3 linked regions of the Kluyveromyces lactis genome follow. The protein of the gene in region 2 interacts with the protein of the main gene of each other region in a biochemical or structural test. Links are inferred from orthologs where the notes say so. Each region holds a gene or a part of one and is shown on either strand. Other genes may lie near its edges.

Region 1 (3,143 bases), on a different chromosome or scaffold from region 2:
GTTTGGAGACCATGCTTACTGAAGGTGGTAGTAATTTAAGTGTAGGCCAAAGGCAATTGATGTGCTTGGCTCGTGCCTTGTTGATTTCAAGTAATATCTTGATTTTGGATGAAGCAACTGCAGCTGTTGATGTTGAAACGGATCAATTGATCCAAAAGACGATTAGAAACGCATTTAAGGAAAGAACAATCTTAACAATTGCTCACAGGATTAACACAATTATGGACAGTGATAGAATTATAGTGTTGGATAAAGGTAGAGTAACAGAGTTCGACACTCCTCAGAATTTGTTACAGAAGAAGGATTCTATTTTCTATTCGTTATGTCTTGAAGCCGGCTTAACGGAGTGAAACCCCCTCAAGTTGTATTATCATAACAGAGATTTTGTTTATTTAAGTACTTTTGTAATAATTTTGTTAAGCAATTGTTTCCTAGTTGAGATGCCCTATCAGAATTATAAATAATATTCGGTTTATCGTAAGAAACGTGTAAATAGTTACATTTCTGCTGTGATTAAAAGATGCTTTATATAATACGAAATAAAAACAAAAAAAGAATATACTTCTGTCAAGCAGATTTCATTACATTGAACTTATTTGAATTTGGAGACGTATTGGTCTGCTTGATTAGCAAAATTCGTCAATGTTTCGTTTGCTGGATCAGGGCCAATAGAGAAAGAAGGGTTAGAATTGGAATTAGAGTTAGCGCCACTTTCAAGTTGTTGTGGGGTCACTTGAGCCTGGGGAGGAGTAGAGGCGATTGTCTGTTGAGTTTGCTCTTCAGTTTGGTGTTGTTGCTGCTGCTGTTGCTTAGAGGCAGCCTCCGCGGCGGCGACAGTGGCAGCGGCTACTTGGTCGTCGAAAGTAGCATTTGTATTGATTTGTGGGTCACCGATTTGATGGAAATCCAAGATCTCGGAATACATCATTACACGCCAGGTGTCAACAGGTAAGTCAGCATCGTTGAAATTCCAATCAAACTTAGCTTCTGCGATAGGTTCGTCGGTTGGGTCATGATATGGGGAAAGGTAAGGATGGGCCAAGGCATCAGCTGCTGTAATTCTCTTCTTTGGATCGAACACAAGCATTTTTTCTAGAAGATCTATAGCATCTGGTTCCAAGTTCTGGAACCTCGAACTGAATGGTACAGGATCTCTATGAGGTAATGAAGTAACAAATTTGAGAGTGTTCTCTGAGCAAATAGTGTCTATGACATCTTTTGGAGGCGATCCTAATAGATCAGTGATGATAGAAAATTGATGCACGTGATCTTTACCTGGGAACAAAGGCTTACCCTCGATCATTTCGGCAAAGATACAACCAGCAGACCAGATGTCTACTTCAACATTATATTTTTGCCAGGTCAACATGATTTCTGGGGCTCTATAGTAACGGGTTGACACGTAACCAGTCATTTGAGGATCTTGAATCCTAGCAAGTCCGAAATCGCAGATCTTTAAATCACAGTTCTCATTGATCAAGATATTGGAAGGTTTCAAATCTCTATGGATCACACCTGCGGAATGAACGTATTTAAGCCCCCTCAAGATCTGGTATAAGAAATATTGAACGAATTGTTTTTCCAAAGGCCTTGTCTGCAACAATCTATGTAGATCCGTCCCTTGCAATTCAGTGACGAAATAAATATCTTCTAATGGTGACAAGAAGATATCTTCGAGACAAATCAAATTCTCATGCCTTAGATGCTTTAACAATTTGAGTTCCCTATACGTTCTTTTTGCCAGTACGGAAGTAGAAAACGGTTTCATAATCTTCTTAATCGCTACAGGCTGGCTTGTTAGCGTATCTGTAGCAGAACAAACCAACCCGAAGGCACCCATACCAACCGGGTTCAAATTAGTATACCGATTGGTAATTTCGAAAACTGTACCAAAAATTTGAGTCCTAATAAATTCCTCATTCGACATTTTATTTCAATTGGAAAAACGTGTCCAGCTTCGATATCCTCGAGTTTTTGGTTCAACGAAGGATACGTATATGAATCTAATTCTTTGGGAGATCGCTCGAACTGGCAGATAACTTAAGCAACGTTATAGCAATTGTTGTCGAAGGGTCTCCTAGTTTTGTTTCTATCAAGTTTTCTTTAATTTTCAATTTTTTAAATTTAACGACTTGAATATGAAATTCAACGGTTCTAATTCACTAAAAAAAAAAGGAAGGGCCTGGCAAAAAACGATGTCCATTCACCGATAATGGAGGGGAAAGTGTCACAGTGGGAATTATATAAAACACTGTTTCGAAGATTTTATCACCGTTTGGTTCTGTGATTAACCCTGAAATACTGCCTGTGTACTTGTTTCCTATTTAAGACGTAACAACAGCTCTGACAGATAGGATCGACGTCGGCTTGATAGATTGGGTTATTATATGTGTATGCATGTATGTATGTAGAGTAAGATTTGCGAACAGGAGGGGCAGTGGCGGATTATGATACATGACATCCGGGTAATACTTCTACTGATATCACGTGATAAACCAAGTAAGAAACCCTTGAGAAGACCACCCAATTATTGCACACCTGTGAATACCGTGACGTTACATATTAATACTGGTGACCATAAACGTTAAAGGTACTTCTTGATCAATAATTATACATTTCCTCATTTAAAGTTTCTTTGTAAGTCGAAATGACAGTTTTTGGACAGACATCAATTTGAATAAAGTATGGTTTGAAACCGCCTACTTACATACAACGTGATCTGATAAGAAAACTTACGAGACAGGGTAATAGATGCATAGAAACGGATTAGTAACTTGATGTTACCCGGGAAATCACACCTCTTGGTTTTCTAGGCATGGAATAGAAAAAATGGACGAACCGTGAGATGATTTGCAGTAGGTAAAACCCACCGGCCGCGCCCTTGACGCTCTGTCGTAGTTTGTAACCTACTATCGGCGTTTCCAGGGTCTATTTACAAATCAAGCCATGACATCCTTCTCTACTGGTGACTGATCTGACTTACACTCAACATGAGTCGAACCCGCGACTCTGGAATACGACGATATACTTGAGATTTGTGATTAGCGCCTTTAAAGCCCTATCATGGAACCCTTGAAACGCGATCGCACAGGGTAAACAAAGCACACCATCTTGCAGAAGCAAGCAGACAAAGGGGAACGAAT
Region 2 (4,391 bases):
AAAAGAGGTAGATATTGATTTAGTCGTGAGTTGAAAGATGGTCTCTACTCATAATAAAGACAAGCCTTGGGATACGGACGAGGTTGACAAATGGAATATCGAGGAGTTTAAACCCGAGGACAACAAGTCTGGCCTTCCTTTTGCTGAAGAATCCAGTTTTATGACTCTATTTCCAAAGTACAGAGAAGCGTACTTGAAATCAGTTTGGAAAGACGTTACGAGGTCTCTCGATGCACATCATATTGCATGCGAATTGAATTTAGTTGAAGGTTCTATGACTGTAAAGACTACAAGAAAAACGTATGATCCAGCAGTAATCTTGAAGGCTCGTGATTTGATTAAACTTTTGGCCAGATCTGTGCCATTCCCACAAGCAGTGAAAATCCTAGAAGACGATGTTGCCTGTGATGTTATAAAGATTGGTAACTTTGTTTCTAATAAAGAAAGGTTCGTGAAAAGAAGGCAGAGACTAGTGGGTCCTAATGGTAACACTTTGAAAGCCTTGGAGCTTCTAACAAAATGTTATATTCTTGTCCAAGGTAATACTGTCTCAGTAATGGGACCATATAAAGGATTAAAGGAAGTACGCCGTGTCGTCGAAGATTGTATGAAAAACGTACATCCTATTTACCATATCAAAGAACTCATGATAAAGAGAGAACTTGCTAAGAAGCCTGAGTTAGCCGAGGAAGACTGGTCTAGATTTTTACCTATGTTCAAGAAGAGAAATGTTGCAAGAAAGAAACCAAAGAAGATCAAGGAGAAGAAAATATACACACCATTCCCACCTGCACAATTACCTAGAAAGGTTGATTTGGAGATTGAGTCCGGTGAGTATTTCTTGAGCAAGAGGGAGAAGGAAGTCAAAAAGTTACATGAGCGCAGGGAACAACAAGCCGCTAAACACGCTGAAAAGGAAAGCGAGAGAGCCAAGGATTTTATTGCACCAAAAGAAACCGACTACAAAAGCTCAATTTCAAAATCTACAAAGAGCTCTTTAGGAGACAGGAAAAGACAGCGTACCGATTAAAGCGCTAGTAAGTATTTTATTATATAATCGCGTTTCCATCCTTTTCTCATGACTCAAATTAAGAAATATAGTTTTAAGTTAAGTTTCAACCAGTTGCTTTGTTCAAAAATCGTCCCAGTAGACACTTTACGATTATATTTATGGACCACGTATACGCTTTTCACTAACTATCATTCATGCCAGCAACGTTCTTGCTTTTCCTTATGTCAAAACCTGCGGTGTGACAAAAATATAGTACGTACGATCAAGAAGGTTTTTTGAAAAGAAAAATGAGAAAACGCGTAAATATTTAAGGCTCGCAGCCCAATCTTATAAGCACGATAATGTTACCAGGTAAGGCATTATTATAACCGTTTTATTAAAGGAATTCAACACCTTGCAAACACTTCGGCACATTATCAAGTGCAGAATGGACCTACTAGATGATTTGAACGTTGGCATTCATAAAAAGAAAGGCAAAACATATTCTAAAGCGAACGATGCAGAAGATGAAGAGCTGAACGTGGGAGAGCACAAGTTTCTAGCAGAGAATCTGCTTGAAAGAGTCAAAAAGAGACTAAATGGAGATTCAGATGATAGCACTGCTTCGGCAATTGATAACAGTAAAAAAAGCACATTCTTCTACAGTGATACCGATTTGTATGAAGGTAAAGAGTTGGACGATGAGTTTGAGGCAATGCGTGAAACTGCTGCAGTACCAAAGCAGCGTGAAGTGGAAATCCAACAGAAAAAACATCCAATATCTCAGACACAATTAATTCCTACATTCTCTTCATCTTGGCTGGCAAAGACTCAAGTAAATACTCAGGCACTGGAGGGCACCAACAGAACCATTGATAGACAACAGCAAGATTTAGACACACAATTGAACAATGAGGAAATTACACAGACTACACCAGATGAACACACTCTTGATAAAGCTGCAACCGAAAGTAAATTGCTGCACAGTAAAGAAACTTCCTTTCGAAATACTTCGTTTACATTTAAGTTGACAACAAACAACAATGAAGGACTACTGGCAACTAAACCAAATGGAACTCAAATAGAGAATGAGCAAAAAGTGGTCGCTACTCAACTTGATGTTGCTGAAAAGGAGAAAGCCGTGCCTCTTATAAAAGATACTATAGAAGAACCACATTTACCTGTAGCACCATTAAAGGCTGTCCGAAAGAAATACCTCCCTGAACAGTTCATTGCAGCTTTTGATGATTCGGAGTCATCCAACGCAGAAGATCTTTCAGATGAGGAAAATGATGCTGATGAATTGAAAGATATGGCATCTACTCAAGAGTTAGTCACGAAACAGAAGAGTGTTGTTACTAATATGAATGGGATTATTGCCATTACTATGAAAAATAGTCCACAAAATGTTATTGAACTGAACTCTTCGTCCGAATCTGAAGATGACTATAAATCACAATCGTCCAAGGCAGCATTATTGCTGATTAAAGCTAAGAGATCCAGGAATAAGGCTACTAAAGCAAAGAACATGCATGTTTCTACAGTTGACTCTTTGAAGGAATTGTTTACATCTTTGAAAACAAAGAACAGAGACCAGATACTTGAATTTAGAAGAGAAATATCCGGTAAAAAAGGAATATCACTTGAAGCGATTGAAGATGAAAAGATTCAAGTTGAAAAGCTTCTAGAGCAAGAGCTTGAAAGGAATAGGAGAGTTAAACTAAGAGAAAAAAGAGAAAGAGAGAAATCAAAAGATACGAGTAAAGCTGCATCTTCTGGTAGCGCATCCGATGTCCCTGATAGCGATGTGATGGAGAGTGATTTAAGCTTATCAGATAGTGATGTCGAGCAGCATTTAGGGCTACACGGGTCCACTGGTTCAGACGAAGATAGCGCGGATACATCGGCAGCCCATAAAAACAACAATCCTATAATAGATGATGACGAGAGTTCTTCGTCAAGTGATGATAATGAAGTCACCCAGGAGCCGATTGGCATCAATTTAGGGCATTATGGCGATAATTTAACTTCCTCAAATGTAACGGAAAATGATGGTGCTGATCAAAGTGACAGAAATGTGCCTTCAAATTCAGAACTGAAGATGAACAGATCACATTCAGCGAAATTATTGGTGGGAGAGTTAAGTTCCGATTCCTCAGTAGACTCTGATTCCTCAGAGGACGAGCTCGACGAAGTAGAAAGGAATAGGCTTCAAGAAAGGGCTAAAATGCGCCGAAGAATGGAAATAGAGGCAGCAAAAAAGCGGAAGCAAGTACTTAAATCAACTGGTCTCAACAAAATATTGGAAATGGAAGCAGAAGAATCTGAGGATGAATGGCATGGTGTTGGTGGTGCTGACGGAGAGAATTCAGATGACTATGACTCAGATTTGGATACCATGATAGATGATTTTTCCAAAAGCAAGTTTGATACCGCTTCAATAAGAGAAAGGTTAGCCTTAGAGAACAAAGAAATGGACGAAAGGATGATAAATAAAATCTTACATGATATCAATACCGGAGGCTTTCGTAAACGTGGCCGAGGAGCACTAGATCTTGAGTTAAGCGATGATGAGGATGAGTTACTACGACAGTTTAGGGAAAAAAGAAGAGAAATAATGAAACAAAAGCTACTAGAAAATGTGGACGGTGTAGTCAATAACTCAAAATCAAAAGCCTTTTTCGATAGTATGGTGGAAGATATAACTAGAAAGTCAATCCCTGCTGTCACATCATTCAGCAATACTCGAGATGAGATGGGAAAGAAGAAAATTGTCATATCAGAAGAGTTTGTTCAGAGTTCATTATCGTTTTTAAGTGCAAAAGATGATGATATCAATGAATTTGAGGTCACTGAAGCAGCACATGATGCAACTGAGGATTTGGAATCTTTGAAACAGCGAAGCAATATTAAATCTCTCGATTCCCCTCAAAGGAATAGAAACTCCGCCTTCTTTGATGATGTGGATGGTACATCTCTGGACTTCAAATTGCCCAGCATCGTAAAGTCTTTTTCGTCAAACTCAGATGTTAATGACAAGTTCAAAACGGGGATCAAAACTGTTACTATATCTAAATCTTATAGAGTAGCCTCTGGTTCTCGATCTGCCATCACTTTCTTGGGTAAAAAGAGAAAATTGAAGGCACCCCAAGGCCGAAAATCCACACCGTTGGTACGCAAACCAACATCTAGCTTGTTTGACTCCAATTCCGATAGTTTCACCTGACCCATCCAACTAATATGTCAATTTCATTATAAAATCTCTTAAAATTACATTTGTATAATCATTATATCAGAAGTTAAATTCAGTGTTCAATGCCTCTTGAAGTTCATTATATGAAACAGTACAAGTTACTAATGGGTCATTTAGCCCACGGATGAACTTTGCGCCATTCGGTCC
Region 3 (4,234 bases), about 150 kb from region 2:
AAATCTTCGAAGTAACTTCCATTGTTTAAATCTGATCCGTATTCTTCAGGGTCTTCATACTCTTGATAATGTGACGATAAATAATAACTAGCTGGTTTTCCAATTTCAGATTCAAATGGAAGAGACCTGTGCTTTTGTATAGTTTCAATTACCAACTGGACCTCAGTAGGAGTTTTATTATTAATGAAATAGCAAGCAGGTTGATTAGCTTCCGGAATTGCAAAACCAGCAAGGATTAAAAGCCTTCTGAATTCGGGCTGTTGGTATAAGGCCCTCTTTATCTCAGAATTAGTAGCATTGAATGCAACTTTTTTTACTCTTTCCTCTTCTAGTGAATTGATGCCTTCTGCTACCTTACCCTTCAATCCATCGAAACTTGACTGTAAATTAAGCAACAAAGCTTCAATCAAATCTTCATATCCATCATCGATAAGACTAGAAACCAAGATTCCAACTTGCATATCTAACAAAACTTTTTTAGGAAGAGAGCCTTCATCTGGAATATTGATAAATGTGCTGGGCAATACTATGTCAGGAGTACCTTCAGTCAACTTCATCTTTCCATGTCTCATATAGTATGATATTTGGGAGTCATGGAGCATTGGGAACAATATATTGATGTACAAAGAAGGCATTTTCTTCAGTTTATTTTTGAGCTGCTTAAGGTAGTACTCATTGAATTTTGTGAAATGAGTTCTTAGCTCAGAAGTTGTAGGCAGACCTTGTTGACTTAGAATTTCTCGACATAATATCATGAAGTCAATTCGAAATAGAAATAATTCTTCCTTCGCTTTGACAAACACTCTCTGAAAGAATTTTAGAACCCTTATGAGGTCTTTGTCCTCCAGTTCTTTGTAAGACTGTAGATATCTGATGTAAGTTGATATCGTTGGTTCTGTCAGATATCCGCGAAAAACCTTATCAAAGTTTATGGTCACTTGTTTAAATTGTTCTTCTAATATATCAAAGGCTGATTCATAGTCTAAATCATTATCTTTTGCATACTTTTCAATTGCTGTGTGATTAAGGTTCACCTTACGCTTCCTTTTTGACTCCACAGTCAACGAGCTGTTCTCATCAAATTTATCAATTGTTTTCAAAACCACATGTGTTAAATTAATGCAAGCTTTAACATATTGTGAAGAATGACTGGTTGCAGATTTTGGGAGAGATGCCAATAGCTGCAACATATTTTCGCTCAAAATCTTACTTATCACAGCTTGAACATCTGCCTCCCATGATTGGTCGAGAGATAATAAAAACTCCAAGTATTCCGTGAACAATAGCATACCCGCATGGACCACTGGCCAATTCTTTTGTTCATAACTCTCTCTCAAATATTTTGTAAAGAGAATGTAACACTCATCTAACAATGCGCCTGAGACATAATCCGGTGTAGCATCAATTTCATAAATGCACCGTGATCTCTGGAATTTCACAAACCACGAAATGAATAACATGTATTCAATCTTATGCAATGGTAATTGATCTTGAATTTCACTCGTAAAACTATCTGTGGCATTTTGCAATAACAAATTGAAACTGGAATCAACAAAATCTGCCAAAAACTCTTTTATGCTAGTAATGTTGTCAGAAGACATGTAAATAGAATTACCTTCAGTACTAAAAAAGCTGCTACTGAGTCCTTCAATAACATCGAGTCTCATAGTGATGGTTTTATTCCATTTTTTTCTTGAGTCTAACTCTTGTAATGCCGCATCATCACGCATGTTGACAGAATTACTAGCAATTGTCAATCGCGTATTTTGAGGTGTCTGTATAGACAATAAACCGCCAAATCTAGAATGACGAGAAGAAGTATTCTTTATTACATTAAGCTTCTTTTCATGTTCCTTTGCAAGTAATTCTGAAAGGTGTTTACCTGACGTTGTCATGTTGGAGTCTGTAATCTCGTGATCCGTACCCAATTTATAAGATTTTCTCTGGTTTTTGAACAATCGGATGGGGTTAATATCTTTTGTTAAGAAGAACATGACCTCTAACAACGGCCAACTAACGAAATTTGGGTCAACAGCGTCTGACAAAGAACTAGCCACTGTTAGAAGAAAGCCAAAAACTTTATTTTTATCAAATGCGGTTATGACACTATTTATGGAAATATCATCAACGGTAATATTCGTTGGTAACATTTCAGCCATAGTCAAAGGTCTCTTCAATCTTTTGACACTGGATATTGTAACTTCACCTGGTTCTATTGCCACCACATTTTTTAGAAAATTAAGAACCATTCGTATCAGAGAGTCATCCCTAGCAGTCCTATGATCTACATCCACACTCATGACGTTCAGGGCTAATCTAATTGCTGCCTTGAGAACCTTTCCGTTTTCTGTTGTCAAAATTGCATGCTTATACAGCAATTGATGCTTTTTCAGCTCAAAGTAATAATTCACTTGGTTATACGATGACTGATCTGTTATGATTAAGGGCCATGTCATCAACACCATAAGTTGCAACGCTCCTAGAGCGATTCTATCATGATATGATTTATTCGGGAAGAAAATCGAGATATCTTCACCTGTTTTTTTACTTTTCCTAGTAGCAGCACTATTTTTTGCCTCCCAATCCAATAGAATAGGTATTAGATCATTCTGCAGGATCTTGAATTCAGCTGTGGCCATTTCTACATCCCATCTCTTCTGGTTATCATCAACTAACTTGAACCAACGAATCAAATCCTTAATACAAGCCAAGCAATCATCACCTACCTTATAAGGTGGATTAACGGAGTCCACAGAGTGATCTGGTCCTCCAATTGCCGTGGCTAACATACCAATTCTTGCCTTAATGATTGTGTATGAAATATCCTGGTATTCATTCTGAATATGTATGTTTTGCCTATCTTCTGCCAGTCTCTCCTTCACAGTATCAACGTCATCGGGTTCTGACATAGTTACCTTCTGTCAAAGCTACGAACCCAAAGAAGTTTTCTAATAGTTTTCTCAACTAATACTAGTTATGTTCGTTGTCAAATTGGTCAAATTGGAAAGAATTTGCCCTCTTGATTAAGGTAGCCCTTCGAATATTCATCCTTTTGTTCAAACGCGTAAAACTGTTGAAAGCTGTTTTATGATCAAAATCTCATTCGATTGGAATTGATTCCTATGAAAAGTAAGACAAAACCAGATCACGTGATTTTGAAAATTGTAATTCTTCGCCCCCCCTATCAATACACGGTACAAGCACTGTTTTATTGCCTCACTATCAGCAATTGATAAGTTTCAATTTTAAATATTAGTTCCGTAACATTTTAGTTAGATTACTGTTCTCCCAACGACGAAACAGAGACGAAAGTCCAAATATCATGCGGGAAAGTAACTCACTGTTCTTGCTTTCAAGCTGAGCTTTCATACCAAACTAAAGGAATAGTAGCAGTCACCATATAATTTCAAGTAGATTGATACCAAACACAAGCCATATATTAAAATATTTGATCAAATTGTATTATACCTGCTCCTATGGCTACTTTGTTCTCCTTTGTGTCAATCTAGAAATAATCTTGCATATTTTTTTTTCGATCTTCATGACCGTATTAGGAACGGTCGTAAATAAAGCGTACAAAAAGCAAAAAATAAGGGTTCTGATTGCACTCGGCTTATGTGACGACATTCTCCGTTAATGAAGAGCAGACATAAGTGGAAAAGCTTTTGAAATTCCTCAAAAAAGACAAAAACACTGCAATAGTGTGTTAAAGATGGTTGGTCCGGTTTGCGATGTCTCATTTGTCAATGAAGATCAATAAGCATTAATCTGTGGTTTTTCCATTTTTTTAACTCATCGATCTGAAATTTGATTTTGAGGTTTTAACTTTCAAATGTAGAGAACATGAATGAGGGAGGTGAATATGTCTACTGAGTGCTGGGGGATTATACATACCGGGTATGTGATCTTGTGTCGTGGTATAGGATCATTGCGGGGAGATACATTGTTCCAATTTCTGAGGCAAAAAATATATTTGAAATATGCTCTCAATTATTAACTACGGAAGTAGAATAGAACCTATGCCATGCCTTTGCTGCCTTTGATAAACGTAAGATTTATGTTGCACTGCGCACAAGTTATTTAAAATGATTTACGGCAGCAAGTAGACAAGAGTATGACAAAGAACAGTCGATTAAGAATGTGAAGAAAGAAAAAAAATGGAACGTTCAAAACAGGACCAATGCTAGATGGTTTTGTTACAAGGAAAATTTCAGGATTATAATGCTATCTGAGG

The links.
Region 1: of the proteins of MRC1 (region 2) and HOG1, one has a biochemical effect on the other in vitro, tested with the Saccharomyces cerevisiae proteins (2 studies listed by BioGRID). The link is inferred for Kluyveromyces lactis from reciprocal best matches to the Saccharomyces cerevisiae genes MRC1 and HOG1.
Region 3: the proteins of MRC1 (region 2) and TOF1 form a complex in vitro, tested with the Saccharomyces cerevisiae proteins (2 studies listed by BioGRID). The link is inferred for Kluyveromyces lactis from reciprocal best matches to the Saccharomyces cerevisiae genes MRC1 and TOF1.

Annotation. Positions count from the first base shown.
Region 1 is NC_006042.1:1,865,993-1,869,135, reverse strand, and holds HOG1 (mitogen-activated protein kinase HOG1), read right to left. Parts: upstream 1,928-3,143; coding exon 593-1,927; downstream 1-592. Other genes in the region: ATP-binding cassette glutathione S-conjugate transporter YCF1, read left to right, coding at 1-350. UniProt on the Saccharomyces cerevisiae protein: Proline-directed serine/threonine-protein kinase involved in a signal transduction pathway that is activated by changes in the osmolarity of the extracellular environment.
Region 2 is NC_006039.1:35,223-39,613, reverse strand, and holds MRC1 (chromatin-modulating protein MRC1), read left to right. Parts: upstream 1-1,439; coding exon 1,440-4,217; downstream 4,218-4,391. Other genes in the region: ribosome biosynthesis protein KRR1, read left to right, coding at 38-1,030; VAC17 (Vac17p), read right to left, coding at 4,284-4,391. UniProt on the Saccharomyces cerevisiae protein: Required for normal DNA replication. Phosphorylated in response to DNA replication stress. Phosphorylation allows it to mediate the activation of RAD53.
Region 3 is NC_006039.1:187,758-191,991, reverse strand, and holds the start of TOF1 (Tof1p), read right to left. Parts: upstream 2,910-4,234; coding exon 1-2,909. UniProt on the Saccharomyces cerevisiae protein: Forms a fork protection complex (FPC) with CSM3 and which is required for chromosome segregation during meiosis and DNA damage repair. FPC coordinates leading and lagging strand synthesis and moves with the replication fork.